Drosophila melanogaster: one gene and its partners. Changing the gene in region 3 together with the main gene of any one other region gives a genetic interaction. Each region holds a gene or a part of one and is shown on either strand. Other genes may lie near its edges.

Evidence for each region. Genes that interact genetically often act in the same process or in processes that back each other up.
Region 1: of tow (region 3) and stan, changing one enhances a phenotype caused by changing the other (phenotypic enhancement), as found in Drosophila melanogaster (one study listed by BioGRID).
Region 2: of tow (region 3) and ck, changing one suppresses a phenotype caused by changing the other (phenotypic suppression), as found in Drosophila melanogaster (one study listed by BioGRID).

Annotation. Positions count from the first base shown.
Region 1 is NT_033778.4:10,671,784-10,676,348, reverse strand, and holds the start of stan (starry night), read right to left. Parts: upstream 3,005-4,565; 5' UTR 2,380-3,004; intron 1-2,379. UniProt on the Drosophila melanogaster protein: Involved in the fz signaling pathway that controls wing tissue polarity. Also mediates homophilic cell adhesion. May play a role in initiating prehair morphogenesis. May play a critical role in tissue polarity and in formation of normal dendrite fields.
Region 2 is NT_033779.5:15,054,859-15,059,472, forward strand, and holds the start of ck (crinkled), read right to left. Parts: upstream 3,005-4,614; 5' UTR 2,810-3,004; exon of another isoform or gene 2,647-2,809; intron 1-2,646. Other genes in the region: CG33679 (uncharacterized protein), read left to right, coding at 3,445-3,810, 3,874-4,029. UniProt on the Drosophila melanogaster protein: Myosins are actin-based motor molecules with ATPase activity. Unconventional myosins serve in intracellular movements: can function in cells as a single-molecule cargo transporter.
Region 3 is NT_037436.4:6,940,936-6,948,880, forward strand, and holds the start of tow (target of wingless), read left to right. Parts: upstream 1-1,920; 5' UTR 1,921-2,071; exon of another isoform or gene 2,072-2,166; intron 2,167-3,496; 5' UTR 3,497-3,755; coding exon 3,756-3,834; intron 3,835-5,328; coding exon 5,329-5,512; intron 5,513-5,565; coding exon 5,566-5,623; intron 5,624-6,312; coding exon 6,313-6,980; intron 6,981-7,035; coding exon 7,036-7,174; intron 7,175-7,342; coding exon 7,343-7,570; 3' UTR 7,571-7,945.

The DNA.
Region 1 (4,565 bases), on a different chromosome or scaffold from region 3:
TTTTTTTCGGCTGTATCTACGGACCACTGCTGCCGTATAAAACTGAACCGTACGTGTGTATATGCATCAATTAAGCTTTTATTCTAACATAACAATTTTGAATGTGGCCGAAACCAGTTTTGAGTGCGCGACCAAGAGGGCCGATGCCTACGCAGAAGTATCTCATGGATAGCCGTGTGAGTAGTGGCCAAGAGAGGCCACCATAAACCCACAAAAGATACCGAAAAATGTGGACCATCAACGTCATCAATGAATCTCTGGTGTGTGCACACGAATTCGTCCAACTCCATGCCATGCAAATCTCATTTGGCCATTGGCCCTCTGATTCTGTAATAAATTCCACAATAGACTGTTGATATTTTGATGGACTCAAGCCGGTCACAAATCAGCCACATTAACTGGCACGAGACAGCATTCAAATGTTAATTAATCAAGAGTCATAACGAGTTTTCCTATGCCGGCATGGATATCGAATGGATTGACTGAGGTTAGTTCGCCGTGCGAGTTGGCTATTCGCAGTGAATGTGGCATCAGAAGCCGGAAAAAATCACCTTTTTCGTTGGCTCCTTGGCCAACTGAAGTCTTAACTGATCACTTCGAACTCAAAAAAACAAAAAACATAACCAATGAAAAACAGGTTGCGGCTACCGAAGAAGAAGAGGATGCGTTCTGGTCAGGATGATGGCCCGTAGCGGATCTGCCTGCCGGTGGTGGATTGCTCCTAACCTGGCCGAGACAGCTGCAAAACCGCGAAGAGAGCCAGGCGCTAACAAACTCATTTTAAGCACGGTAAAATATTTTATTTACCTACTTTTTCTTAAATTTTATTCAAGTAATTCCTCTACTACAACTTAATCTTTATATCCGCAATTATTTGATTTCAAATATAAATGGATTAAACTCATTCTACACATATTTCAAGAAAACAGCCTATTGTAAAAATTAAAGGATAACACCTTAAGCCTTTAACTCTTAATATTAATCGTCTTATAAAATATAATAGAACGACATTTGATGTTTTTGTGTGTAACTAAACTTGGATCACATAATTAACCTAAGTAAATAACTTTTTTTTCTCTGCACCAGCCGCAAGAAGAATGGGAAAAGGTTGGTAACACGCCGAGAAAGAGAGACAGAGAGAGCTAGAGAGAGGCAGGGAGAAAGGGGTCGAACGAGGAGCAGTAGCAGAAAACCAGTCTTACAACAATTTTTCAGCTACTTGCCACTGGCAGGCTCAAAATGGACTTGACTTGACTCTTCCAATTGCACCAAACACACCGCATTCCAACTAGAAAATCATAAAACATAAATGTGCGAGAGTATCTGGCCCCCATCGAAATATAACAAAGGCCCTGTTAATGGCCTCGAAAATAAAATCTATCTTAATAAATTGGCAATCCGACAAAACTGAGTCGAGTGAATAATGTATCCAGCAGATAAGTTTGTCCCGGCCTGCTGAAATATTTATGCGCCAGACAAAGGGCGCAGAAACAAAGATACAAACGCAATGGCAAAGGCAAAATCCCATGGACAAGTGTGAAATGCAGGGAAAACAAAGCACTTGCAACGCTCAGATACAGATACATTTGTATCTCGTGCAGGCATTTGATTCCACGATTCCCCGATTCCGATTTCGGTTATGTTTTGACCCAACTCTTCTCCTTTCTCTCCTCGCGCTCTCCGCGTTTTTGACCCACGTTTTAATGTGACTTTTATTGTGCTTCCTCCTTTTGTTGTCTCATTTGGTATTCAGTTTAATGTTTGTTTAGAGCTTCGCGTTTGTATCTTTTTGCGATGGCTCTGAACTTTAACAGTTGCACTGTGTGAGCGTCGGACTTCGACTTCGACTTCGGCCATCGGCCAACTGTTTGGGCCAACTGCTAATTGGAGATGGCCAAGAAAGAGGCCTTAGGTTTAAAGGCCCAATTGGAGCTCTATTTTATTGCCGAAGCCCTAGAGCTGAAAGCCGTTAATTAAGAACGTCTTAAATCGAAACATTTCAGAGGTAGCCAGAACCACTAAGCGTCTTTCCATATCATATAACAAATAAAGGTTCTAGCAATATTTCATACAGGCCCCCATTTATATGCAGATACAAAATACTTTTCTAGAGCTTATAACCCTTTGAAAATATGAATTACGCGATTCCGCTATGGCGTAAGCCCTTAAATACGAAGTTTATCTAAGAGATTTAAGGCCACGCCTGCGGAACATATAGTGTCCTGTTGGAACGACACCTGTCATACGTCATGAATCAGGTGTCATGCGTCGCACAATTCCCATTAGAATGCAGCCGCATCCCGCCCACAAGGACATATGTATATGCGCGAGCACATGCACATATCCTTGATATATCCTGGCTGGAACGTGTGAACTTACAGGCTTTTGTTTGCTCTGCCGCTGAATTTCCACGCGTGGGTGGCCAATAATCCGCTTTAGCTGCACGGCTGCATTGTTAAATATTTATAATATTGCATTTAAAATCGCGCATCCGTGTTGTTTCCTCTGCGTGAATCTTGTGTTTGTATTATTAACACAATATATTATAATTAGCACTCGCCAGTTTGTGTGACTGGCCTCACTCTAGAGCACTGTTTAAACTGATTTAACTATTTTGATTCCGGGAAATTCGAATAATTCGAATGCTAAACCGACTATAACCCCGACCGTTAAGCTGGGCGGCTAAAAAAAGGGGGTGGTTGTTGGAAAAGCCAACGCACTTTTCTGAAAACAGCAGGCGAAGAAAAGACCGCGCGCTAAAATTCACTGAGAGCGAGGATTGTTGTATGTTGTGTTGGCGAAAAACCGGTAATTTCGACCGTCGAAGTTGTTACTTTGGGTTTGCGTTTACCTCTGCCTTTTGGCTTTGCACTTGCCTTTGCATTTGTCTTTGCTTTTGACTTTGCAGAGACGCGCACGCGTAGCCCCGAGTGAAAAATAATACCGTTCTTGCTGGCCAAACGCTCAAAACGCGTCCAATCGGTCCGGAGTCGCAGTGGTAACTGGCAAAACCAGAAACAGAAACTGAGTTTCTTGCTAAAACTCAGTTGGAAGCCGAAGCGAGTTCGTGTATCCGATGGATACTTTCGTCGGTGGTGGATTTTCTGCGGGGGGTGACTGCGTGTTGCAGCAACATTGCCGCGACTGTTGCAACATGTTGCGGCAGCAGAGAGAGGTGCCACCAAATTTCGGTTTGCATCCCCGAGCATAAAAACGTGCAATTTGATCCAGGATTCTTCAACCTGTAGGATATTCAATCTTTGGAAACTTCGAAAGTCTTTTTCTTATCAGTAAATTAGTTTTGCAGCACGCTTTGCATGCTCAAAGATTTAAATCGACTCAATTTATTAAATGTGATATTTATATAATTTTACTACTATTTATTAAATAAATGTTAAATAAATGTGTTATCTGTGCATCGGGCCAACACCTGTAATCGGAATTAGTTTGCGAATCTAAAGATGGTGGAACATTATCCCTTACGGGTAAAACTTGAACATAAAATTGCTAACTTATAAATTTACATGTGGTGTATTCATTTGTTAATATTAATAAATAATATTCCATATAGCCTAGTTTTTGTGTCCCACCAATAATAATTCATTTTCTGTTGAACGCCTTGGTTTGAAAACTAAATAAACAAACAAACATATTATTTGGCATAATTAAGCGATAGTCTAAATCAACGCAATTTATGTTCAGAAACATAATATGCTAAAAGTTCACTGTCAAAACCAAAAATGTAGTACACCATTAAAACCGACCAAATGACCGTTTTCCATGTTATGATGAGGTTCAAGTGTCAAGAGCTGTTAAGTGAATAGTTTCAATTACGAAGCCATTAGGGATGAATCATTATTCCAATTGGGATCTATACATAGGTATGCCAGAAATTCGCATGTTCCTGCTTGCCATTCGATTAGATTTCAGTTTATCGAATTATGCAAAATATTTAATGCAATTTTGGTTGGCAGAATTCGGCAGCAGTGATAAACATATGCTGGGACCCAGAAACCGAACAAGCTTTTGGCCCACAAGGACAACAGTCGTGGGTAATGGCTACGCTGGTAGATGTATGTATGTGTCGGCGGAATTTATAGCTTACAGGAAGGTGTTGGCCAAGACATCGTCGTTTGGCCAACAACTCGCATTTGGCCAGCTGACGTGGTCCGAATACTTCCGAATAGCAACGAATCGAAGGGATTTTGGGAGGAATCGAAGGAATAGGAGAATAGGAGACCGAAATGGGGGTTTCTTGCATGTAATTGACATTGGCCCCTTGCGTTTGATTAATTGCATTTGGTTGAGGCTCTTCCAAGCCATTGACTCGGAATGCTCTGAATTCCCCCATTGATCTGTATCCGTGTCTATGTAACCTTGTGGCCATGTGTAGCTAGCTGCATCCGTAATCTGTAACCGTTTCAATTTGTATCTGTGTGCTTTTTGCGGGGCAATAAATTCGACATGTTCGACATGCTTTCCAATTACTGAGCGCTGGCATTAAACAAATGCAGCACACTTGACACACGTCGAAAGCCGGCAGCCCTTTTCGGAGATCGGAGTTG
Region 2 (4,614 bases), on a different chromosome or scaffold from region 3:
CATCTATCCGCGATCCACACTCGAACCACAACCATATAGCGACCTCAATTGTCGGCTGGAGTTCAAACATTTAACTAAGACATACATACATGTATTAAGTAATATTGCTCAATACTCGTTGTCCTGTTATCAGCACCCAATTTAATAGTTTAATGCCCTCATTGTCATCTAAATCCCCTCTTTCCGCAAGTACTTAACTGTAGAACGCGGAAAAGGTTTCATTTATTGGGAACTCTATTTGTATCTTAAGGATTGCTTTTTAGGTAAACGTATCTATATTCGTATTTTAATCTTTTTTTGGTACTCAATCCACAACTGTTTTCAAATTGAAGAGAGCACTTAGACTAAGCACAGTCATGACTGAATTATTTAAAAACGATTGCCTAATTGCCGTACCTGCTGTTATCAGAATTTCCCTGCAGTGCAAGTAGCGATAAGAAGCGAAACATCAAACAAGGTGTAAATCGAGGTGTGAGGCAGACATTTGTATCTCTGGGCATGACCAAAAACGATTAAAAAACTTATAGAATCGAGCAAAGAGCGTCTAAGAATTTCCGGCTCTGCAGATTTAGCATCGAATGGTAGTGATAGTGGACTCAGTGACGAACGATTGGCACGTATCTAAGTGCATATATATGGTAACCATATGTATGTATATGTACTGCATGTATATATGTCTATAAGTAAGAGAGTGCGTTTTTAGTGAGTGATCCAAAAGTTCATCGAGAGTCATTAGTGAAAGTTCGTGTGTGGCAGCCACGTACAATTACGGTTTATGCCATCTACTCTACACTACATACAGACACTCGGCCATATATTATCTATAAACATATGTACATATAAAAGTATGTATGGCGTTCATACCAATTGTTTAATACAACCACTTTTTGTTCACTTTGACTTTGACACTTGACATCATGTTGTTGTCATCTTTGAGCAATTTGTGGCATAAAAACATTTCCTATCTGAAAAATTCATATTCGTCTTATTTTACAAAAAATGCAATAATAATCCTATAAGGTTTCACTTTACTTATACGTTAATTGGAGCACTTTAGTTAAACCCATATTGTTTTATTGGTCACTTGAATTATAGCTCTCAAGATAATATGGCTAATAATAAATCCGTAGTAAAGTCTATGGAATGCGAACGATTCTTAAATTTAAGAGCAAATGCACTTTTTCAATTCATTTGAACATTTATAATATTACTTATTTTACAAAAATATTGATTATATGTTGCCTTTAGACCTTTTCAAATTTAAATTATAAAGTGTTTGTTATTAATGTGAACTTGTAAATGATTTAAATTTAAAAAACACCGTTAGTTGTAGAATTTTTTTTTAACTTTTTCCATAATTACTAGCATTGCTAACAAAATTCTTTTTCGCAAAACTTCGTTTGTTGTTCACACAATTTGCTTCTGGTTTAACAACTGAAATCTTCTACAAAATTTAACGACTCACCAGCGACAACAACAAAAATAAAAAATGGGCAAAGTATTATGTTCATTTTTTTTTTATTATGTATTTAGAGAAGACCTTAAAAAAGTTTCACCAAACAAACAGAAAGTCGCTGCGTGCGCGAAAGCCCCCAGCAACAACAAAAACAAAAACAGCCCAACAACCCAAATGGAAACGCAAAAAAAAGGTTGAGATGGGAGAGAAGAAACAAAAACCGGCTAATGAAAAGCGTTTATTTGAAAAAGGGTTTTCCAATTGTCCACACACGAAATGTCCCGTTGTGCAACAGCAAAAACAACAAACCGGACAAACAAGTGTGCCTGCGTTTTTGTTGTTATTGTCAATTTCAGAACTCTTGACCGCTGAACTGCAAGAAAAAGCAGACGCTTCATGATCGATTTGTATTTATGCAAATTTATGTAAATGGGATATACAAATATTTAACTTGAATGTTTGAAATTTATAAACAATTAATGATAGTACACTCTGATTAGATTAGATTTACACAGTAAAAGTATTTCATATATGTATATTTTTCATAATCATAATGATAGATTATAAAAAAAAACGTTTTCAACTGATTAATAAAACACACTTAGTCACTGTTTTAAGGTTTACGCACGTAATTCCATAAAAGACTATTCAAATCATTTTAAATTGACATCGTTTATTTCTCAGTGTGGAAGCCTGGTTCAAGCTCAAGGAGAATGAGAGGGAGAGAGCGCACTGTCGAGAGCGGGTGGGAAAGGTACGTGGCAGAGGGGGAGACGGTAGCAGCACCCTTGAATGTGTTGCACTGTGAGCCGCTCTTTACGCATCTCTCCCTCTCGCTCGCTCTGCAGCTCCTCGGCAGGTGTACCTGTCCGTGTGTGCGTGCGAGAGAGCGGGGCTGCGCTTGTAGTGTGCATGTTAGTACCGTTCTAGCCAACGAAACCTGAAGCGTAGCTATTTAATTTGGTCACTCGCCTAAAGCAATAAAAATGCAATGCAGCCACGTCTCCGTCTGGAAATGCAATAAAATCGATGATGTTACACTGAACCGATGCTGTGACCCTTGTCATTTTCCCCACTGGCTTTTCTAGCCACAAACAGACACACATTTACACAGACCGCTTGGCAGGGTTAATGCACTCTTTTCTTTTAGTTTCGTTTCATTTCTTTTCTTTTTTCCAATCACTCTCTACCTTAATTGCCGCCTCAGAATTTTGCACTCTCCGCTTTTCGGTCACCGAATTCGAATTCTAATTGGAATCGCTCTCGCCACGACCGTTTAATTAACACTTTTCCAGACCCGTCGAAAGCGGGATGTTCTTTTTCAAAAACAGGTTACATAAATAGGTCACGCACCAGCAGTCGCAGGAATAGAGCAGCGCGCCGAAAGTCCGCTTTTCCAGCACAGTTAAGCCGAGCAACAGGTGGATTACAGACCACTGATCATTTTGGGGCTGTGCGATTTGTTTATTGTTTTTCTTTTCGCCGAGAAGACAAGACTTGAAGCGAAAAATAACAACCGATAAACTGATCAATAAGAGTGACCAGGTGGTGGGGCCAGTTGCGAATGGCCTAAAAAATGCGCGGATTACTAATCGTGGTATGCTAACGAGTTAACATTACAGTTCATTTGAAAACCGCTTATATGGTCACATTGCCGCGTAAGCAGTCCGATCGATAGACTTCCGATAGCATCGATAAAAATAAGCATTACTTACCCAAATTTATCGACCTGCCTAATTTCGGCGCGCATTTCAAAATATCTGTCATAAGCTATTGCATTTTTCAAGAAATATCTTTTTTCTATGTCAATATATTAAACATGTCGTCATATTAGCTCATTGAAGCGGTTTGTTGATTACCTAATTATTTATACGAACTGCGATAAGTAGTAATTAAAATCTAATTATGCCCCATCAGTAATTATATTTTTGGAAACCAGTACTCCACCATCGCGTAGAGTGGTCATTACATCCAGACTATTTGCCCTGATGAAGTACCTCTTGTGGATCAGCTTACTTTTCATTGGAGAATCCCATGGATACGTGCGCCTCACGAACCTCAAGTGCGAAAGCTATGACAAATCATTCGTCGTCTTTCCCGAATGCCGACTAAAAGTGCTTGGCAGGGGAATTATCGGAGCCAACATACACGTTAAGCTTCTGAAACTGCCAATAAATAGGATGGTCGTGAGATTCATCACTTACCGGAAGCTAAACGGATACCATCCGTTTCTATTTAATGTTTCCGAGGAACACTGTCGCGTCCTAAGGTATCCAAATCGTCTCAGAGTCTTCTACTATTTCTACACCGCCTTTATGCCCTTTTCCAATATTAATCATACATGTCCCTATAATGTAAGTATTTAGTTTCGCCAATATGACAATCATATTAAATCATATTAAAATATATATTTTAAGGATGATATTTACATAAGGAACTGCACCTTGGATGATCGTATGTTTGCCAAGGTCCCATTACCAAAGGGTAGCTATAAGTTAACCCTCGAAATGGATGATGGTGTCGTGAACTGGATTTCCATCATAAACATCCACTTTGAAATTGACGTTGACTAAGATGAACAAAACATTAGAACACCTAATGGATCTAACACAACGAACACATATTTATTTTGCGTTAATGTTTTAATTATTCCTATGCCCGCTATATGATATAGTTGTCCGATCTGGCCCGTTCCGACTTCTATACTTAATGCAATACAAAGTTCGTTAATGCAAATTGCTTTAAAACTGACTAATTACATCGGTTGTTAATACTCTTCGAGAATACATACACAATATGGCGTCTTATTTACTTCTCTGCTAGATCATTCTGAGTTATATTTATAATGTATTCATATTTACTTTGCTCAATGCTCAATTTATCGCCCCGCTGTGTTATCGGCGAGTTATCAGCAGCGTGGTCGTTATCACCGGCGTTTTTAAAAAACTGATTGCGGCAACAAGACGTCTCCGTTTTATCAATAGTTAATGTTTATTGAAATTTCTTTTCTCTCGTTTAAGGTTTAGGTGGTCAGAGTAAACGCCTCCGCAGTTGGGCAGCAGATACAAAATGTTTTCTCGCGTGTCGTGTCTTTACAATGTTTCATTTAAGAATATGAAGGATGTGTGGTGTGTGCTCATTTGGGATTGATTTATATT
Region 3 (7,945 bases):
GAGTGCGAAAATTTGCCTAAATGCTGGCAGGACACACCAACAGGTTCAAACTGTTGCAGACAACGGGAGAAATGCCAAACAATGTGAGAAATGCCAGAAACATATGTCGCCATTATCGGCAGTTAACCAACATGACAATCCTTGCATAGGGAATCTGATAATTAGGGAATGATTTTGGGGAGTAACAAGTTCAAGGATGGCTTGGAAAAATATTACAAAACATTTAATATGGAGTCGACTTTTGTATTATTTTCTTTTCTACTATTTTATCGAAGAAATTACTAAATGACATACTTAACAATAATAACTTAAATAATAAATGCGTAGAAAATAATATTTTTATATTTTCTTTCTTACCATTAGATAAAGTTGAATTTGACTTAAAATGATATATAAGAAATTGATTCAAACAATCCAAATTTTGTTCAGCTTTTTTGTTGAAATTTCTCTGCTCATCTTGTTTCAATTGTTTAGCGAAAGCGATATCTGTAATCCCACCAAACACCATTAATATAAGACTTAAAATGCCACCCTGCTTTTGCTCAATCCATAGATCAATGGGAAGATATCATTTCGCATTTGTTGTATATTACTTCCTGTTTGGCATGGACATATACATTTCATATTTTTCCCACCAGTCCGTAGTGTCCGTAGATGTCCTAGATGTCCTAACTGTCCACCCCTTGAGAGCGATATAGTCGCATTTCCAGCCCCCTGACGACGACACACGTCCGTGGCAATAAAAGCGCAAACGTTTCAATTCCGTTGCGGCTGACAAATGCACGGAAAAAATGCCAGCGATTCTGCCCCAAAAATATATTATAATGATAAAAAAAAATCGAGTGAATGGAAACGGACGAAAGTTTATATAGATGCTGTCGAGTGTTTTGATTTGTAACGTTTCTCACTTCATTATTATGCAATAAATAATGCCATCTACATGTTCCATCTAATATTATGCAGAAGGGCGAATCGCAGGGGGTAGTTTATTTGTCCTGCGATTTCTGTCCATCGGAAGTGGAGCGGAGCGATGGTCAGAAAATCATTGCTGTTGAAATTAATGAGGCCTAACATGACTGGGCGCGATTTTTTTTTTTGTGCGAAAATATTTTTGCGAAATATTAGGAAAGTATTGAAATATTGAATATGCCGGAGTACGTGGTTTCCGTATTGTCCGTGGTTTATCATGATATCCGTATGGTCCGTGGTGTCCGAGATGTCCGTGGTCTATATAAAATAATAAGTAAAACAAAATAGTTTTAAGAACAATTACAGTCTGTTCATAAAAAATTAAATTAAAATAGGGGTAAGTGTAAAACACCATTTGGAAACTTCAAGACCTCTGCTGGAGCTTTTTGGCATTACTGGAACAGTTGTCGCGTGGCCAAGAATTTCGAAAAGTTCCTGGCACGGAGCTTAAAGCGTGCTCTACCAGAAAAGTTTATTTACTTCTTCTATGCGTGTATTTTCCGATATCGATACCGATATCGATGGTACGAAAAAGAATGCATATCGGTACACCAACGCCAAATCAAAGTGCCAAAATGGCCTCGTGGCCTGCACGAAGGACCTGCTCACAACGAATCCTATATACATCGAAATCGTGAGTGCTACTAGTTTTGGTTCCTCGATTTAGAGCTTCGATGCAGTGTTGCGTTAAAGAAACAGGGCCTTGGGTCTGAGGAAAGTGCAACCCTTTTCTGTGTCCGTCGCTGATCCTGACCACGCCTTAACATTTTCTGGCACCGCCTACGCCTACCCCATGCCGACGGCGCCGACCTGCGATCAGCCTCCGCAAATGGTCACATCCCGTACCAGAACCGTTTGCCGAAAGCTCCAGCTCCACGGTAGCATTGAACCCCTGTGCGAAAGCTTCGCCTGAAAACCCACCCCCATTGCAGTGGGCACTCATCTCCATCGTTGTGTGTGTGCTGGCATGCCGCTGAGAGCGGTTCTCGCTTTTTGTGACACAAAGAGGAGTGTCATGCAGCATAAATTTCATACGAATTCCGCACACTCGCAACGCGTCGCAGATACTTTTCGGCAAAGTTTTCCGCAGGAAAAAGCCAGTGTAAATAAATTGAAAAAAAAAACCGAAAAAATGGGCGACAGTTCCTCTTAGTTATTAACAAAACGGTGTAAATAAATGGGCGTGTTCGTTAAACGGTAAATGATAGTGTATTTGCGACTGTGTTTTTATTTAACTGAATGGAATGGAATGGCCAAATGCGCCCAAGTGGTCAAGTGAGATAAATCAAACAAGTTTCTTTGGGGCGAAATAAAACGGCGGCCAGCCGAAAATCACCATGGGAATGGAAATTAAATGAAAATCCGGCAATCATAAATAAAACATAAATTATGTTTCGCTGCCAGTTGGCGGCAACAAAAATAAAATAATCAAAAAAAAAAAGGAAGATGTGAACCAAGCGGATATATTTTGATTTTTTTTTATAAATAGAAAAATCAATTTCTCTCTCTCCGAGGAGCGCTCTCTCTCTCTCTTTTTTGGCGCGCGCCTGTCTGTGTCCGTCTTCCCCCAAAACGGGCGCATGTGTGCGTGTGGTGGTGTGCGGTGTGTCTCGCGTGTCGGTGTCTATTATAATATCCAGTGAGCAAAAGCGAGTGGCCGAGTGCTCTCACTCACTCTCTCTTTCTCTCTCTCTCTGCGAATAATTGAATATAATTCAAGTGTTTTTGCTGCACACTATTTGTTGTGCTTATTATCGTTATTATTTGTTTAAATTACCAACGACAACATAAACAACAACAAGAGCACCACGCGCGCGTTTAGCACAACGCCGTGGAGCCACCTTCGAAGGCATCGAAAACATCAACAACATACAAAAGGCTCTCAAGGAGAGCGATTTGCGTAGTGCTGCTGCAGCCCTGGTCAGAAAAACCCTTTTATGGGTTTGTCCTGTTTACAAATTGACGCTGCAAATTGAATTTATAGCACGGCTGAAACAAGTGGATGAGTGCCAGCCAGGGACCCACTTAATTTCCGCTACGGTCCCCAAAATACAGAAGACAAATAAATGAGGAAAATGCCACTACAGTGAAGCATCGAGCAGTGGAAACTTGAAATATTCATAAATTTCGAGCTAAAAGTTTAGTTTGTGCCATATTAATAATGATATTACTAAATCAAATTCGTTCGTTAATATTTGATTCAATACCAAACGAGCACCAAAAGTATTACTAAAGAAATTTGCACTAATGGTTCATTCTAGACTTGGTATCAATTTATAAGTTTTCCACTAACTTAACTTCACTTGAATTAGCCTAGTTGTCCTGTATTTGGTTTGAACTGGAAATCGGTGGGCGAGTGGTTGAGTGGGTGGCTTGGGTGGCATTTTCCCTGAGAAAAACTCACGCACAAATGTATTTCCCCCCCGAGGAGCATTTGTTGCTGCTACCTCAATCTTTCGAAATTGACAACGGCGGCAGCGGCAGCAACAACAACACCAAATCAAATAAATTTAATTTACACACATAGTTAAATTAGTGAAAATTGAATAAAACAGAAGAAAGAATAGACGACAAACGTAAATAAAAGACGGTGAGGTGACGGAGACGCGAAGAGTGAGGAGCGGCAGACCGAGCGGGAGAGCAACGTGTCGAGCAACAAATTAATAATACAACAACAAAAACAGATAAATAAAAAGCAACACAAATTGAAAACAAAAACAACAAGAGCAGCAGCAGAGGCAGCAGCAGCGATTCTGGATTTCTAGAGGCAGCGGCACATTCAAAAGATGGGCTGTGGACAGAGCAAGATACATTTGTATCCCAGAAAATCGAAGAGTAAAGCGAACGGCAAGAAAGGAGGACATGGTGAGTAGGCGAAATGAGAGTATATCCTTTGGGCACCTGCCTTTATAAGTTCCACACACGGTGCACCAGACGTAAATGCGTTAAAGATGAAGCAAATCAATAGGTTATCTAAGGGTTTTCATAAGCCCAAAATACACAGTTCAAATATTTTTAGTAGCCACCTATGTGCATATATATAATAAAAAATCAGCAATACTGATAAATTGATCTTCAAAAATTTCTCAGTTCATTTTACTTATAGATTTTATGTTATTCTCATTTTGCGTGCTAGAATTGATATTGTTTTGCCAACTTTGTGTATGCCCGATCATTTGGAATGATCTATCAAATCGTTTAGGCATTTTCCTCTGTGTAGAGCAAGGGAAATTGGGGAAACGGCGAGGAAAACGTATTGCCTCGCACAACAAAAGCTTACACGCATGACGACATCAATTTGCCTCCAGCTGTGTGTGCATGTGTGCGTCCGTGTTTCCGTGCATGTGTGTGTGTGTGAGCCACCTGTTTCCACACAATGAGGACATCATTGATTAATATGTCACCAGCAGTGAAAAAAGAAGGGGAAGTTGAAAGGAGGAGCCCAGTTTTAAGGCCATACATTCACCAAAGTAATAATAAAGGCCTACATTTTAAAGCCCACAGCATTGTCTATATATAAACACACACACACGCACACTAGCCAATTTAAGTTTATAAGAATGTAAAAACCTAGCCTACATGGCAAACTTTTGACTATGCCCAACCCCGCGCGTTTGTTGCTGTCTGTGTCTATGTGTGCGTGTTTCTTGCCTTTTTTATTTCATTTTGTGTGTGTATAATTAACTGCTAAAAAGGCAACTTGTTGTTGCAGTGGGCGCCGCTTCAAGGGGCGTGGCCAGCCCCCCCCCCCCAGTTTGTATATAGCTGTGTGTGTGTGTGTCTCTGTGGGCAAAAGGGTTAAAGCTAAAAAAGTATAGCATACACAAAGGCGCCATTGTGCCATAAACGACCCAAATATTTCGGAGGCGCCTAAGCTTTAGTCTCGTTCCTAGATTAATTATTCATAATACTCGCGGCTCTCGCTTTACCGAATTTGCATTAAAATGCATAACGGCTTTTAATTAAATTTATGGCTGGCAAGGCCACTTCAAAGAAAGGCCCGAGGAAATATTAAGTATACGCAGGCTAAGCCGAAAGATGGATTAGCAAAACAGAAACGTGCAGGTACAAAAAGGATGCTAAAAACTTTGATTTCTTTATTTATTTTTATAAATAATTAAGTATTTGAAAGGCAGATAGTGTTTTTTTGAGTATCCATAGTGGCCCAGGACCTAGCATAATTTCTACAAGTGTTTTCTAAGCATTTTTCTCGACTGCGACTGCCCCCCGTTTCGCAGAGAAGTTTGCCACACTTGGCTTATTGCAAAACTTTTGCCACTCCATGGCACTCGCGAAATTGCCCACTCATCTTGACTAATGCTCGAAACTCTTCTTTGGCATTATCCATTTGTTTGGCAGCCGACTCAGATGCCGAAACGGACGAGGACGAAGGCCATATCGAGGATGCTGAGAAGGCACAGCAGCGCGACCGCGAGAAGCACGACGAGAGCGAGGAGCTAAGCAATAAGGACATCCAGGAAAGCGACGAGGACGTGGCCGTCTCACTGCTGCGCGCCAAGAACCTATCGCTGCTGCAAAGCCAGTAAGTTAGCCCATCGACCGCATAACCCGAAAATGAACACCTCACTTTTCCAGGGAAATATCATCTAGCCAGCAGAACTTCTTCCGCATGCTGGACAAGAAGATTGATGAGGTGAGAGTCCACTTAGTGATACATTCCCACATACCAGATGGGAAATTTAAATCAAGGGGGTTCCCAATAGTATAAAAACTTAAATCACTCGCTATAAAGCACAGAGAACAATTGTTGTTTCTATAAACACAAAAAGTTGAAAGTACGAAATTCTATAAATTCATTGACCCCAAATACGTAATTTAATAGAATTTATTAATTTTAACATACATATATATTTTAAAAGCTTTGCAATATAAACTCAACCAATGTAAATAATGATCAGCTAACTAGTCATAACATTGATGTGTAATTGGCTGTTCCGTGATAATAAACAAATGGCCAAAAATCAATATATATGTAAGTGCACTAAGTATTTGGCTATCCCAAATCGAAAGAGCAAAACAATTAGTTTTATGGCCCCCTATTTGTTTTCTTTTCGAACAACATGTGAGGAGCCATTAAAATTCGCTTGTTACCTGAAAATTTGACTTCAAAGAGATTGGAACAACTTATGCGCAGCAAGAAAATGTACATATATGCCATGGGGATTAATTTGATTATTTTATTAAACATGTTAGACACAAAATCTTTTATAAATTTCCATTTTAAAGGTATTTTAATTTGATCTTTATATTCTGGGTGTTTTGCTAAACTTTTACTTCTTGTCTGTGACCAAATCTGGCTAAACACAAACACGCTTGTTTTAGGGTCCCGACTACGATTCGGCCAGCGAGACGGAGATCGCATTGGAGGAGGCCCGACTAAACGCCCTGCGTCAACATTGGGAGTCCGCCAGCATTACGGCCTCCATCTGCTCCTCGGCCAGCCGCTCGCTGCAGACGACGCCCATCCGCCAGGTGCAGGTGCCATTGAAGCAGCCACCGCGTGGCGCCGGCCTGCTGATTCAGCCTTCTAGCGCCTCGGCGGTCACCGCCTCCACCTCCTCCTCCTCCTCATCGACGATAGTCGCGCTGCCCACGACGGAGTATCTACCTCAGCATGTGTTGACGGGACGGCAAGTGGTGCAGCAGCAGCAACAACAGCAGCAGCAACAGGCGGCAGTGCTCTACCAGCAGCAGCAGCAGCAACTAATACTGCTGCCCCAGTTGGATCCTAATGTTGTCAACACGTCCACGGCAGCAGCAGCGGCACAGCTCGTCCAGTTGCAGCAGCAGCATCAACAGCAGCAACAACAGCTACAGCTGCAGCAGCAACAGCAGCTGCAACTCAATCAGCAGCAGCAGCAGCAACTTTACCAGCAGCAGCAACAGCAATACCTGCTGACCCTTCCCGCCGGATCAAAGCCCCAGAGCGTGAGTCCAAAGCGCCTGATCTATGGTGGACCCGCTGCAACCACTCTCCTCTGTGCAACTGGGTAGGTTCAGCTATCTGTCATCATATATATATATATTATATCCATTTAAATACAGTGATGTGCATTTCAGCATCAAATGCAACGCCCCCGAAACTTACGAACCGCCAACCGCTCCACACAGCCAAATCCAGCAGCAACAGCCACCGCCTCCTCCGCCGGGCGCCTACTACGGCGAGATGATGCACGGCGTACAGGTGAGTGATCCTATATGTACTGGATCTTAGAGGGCAACTTGAGTCTGCTGAAGAATTCTTAAAAAATTCTACTGTCTGCAGAATTTGCGCTCATGAGCAACTAATTCTTAATGCCTATTATCTTGACTTTTAGCTTAATGACTAATATATTTACTTGACCATTTGCAGGCCGCTCCAGCGGCGGAATACAAGTTCCCGCCGGCCATCAGCGTGCAGAGACTGGCGCCGCAGGTGCAGCGGCAGTTGCGCGAGACGCAGGAACTCATAAAAGACTCGTGCCCGCAGCTGTATGCGGCGGGCTATGGCAGCCCAGGACCACCGATACGCAATCCCAGCAGGAACCCCACTAGAACTAGACCCACCCTGGAGACGCAGTTCTCGCAGGAACTCTCGTGATATCTATATATGTAAACAGCCGGCAGACGGAGGATGCACCCACGTTCAGACACACACACACACACAACCACTCACAGTTGGAAAAACTGCAGCCAAAGAGGAAAGCTAAAATTAACCAAAATTATAAGAATACGAAACCCGTGACAAAACACACAGTAAAAAAAAAACAAAGAAAAAGCCAAAAAAAAAAAACAACCAAAAAGAAACTTCAAAATGAAAGAAAATCAATTAAGAAATTGTAAAACTGCACTCAATGTTTCAGACCCTCAGAATCCCCAAAATGCGTACTATTTGCAACAAAGAAACAATATGAGCAACTACTATACCTATGCGGAGCAACAAATAAAGCATTCAACTACAAGGATATTCAAGAGG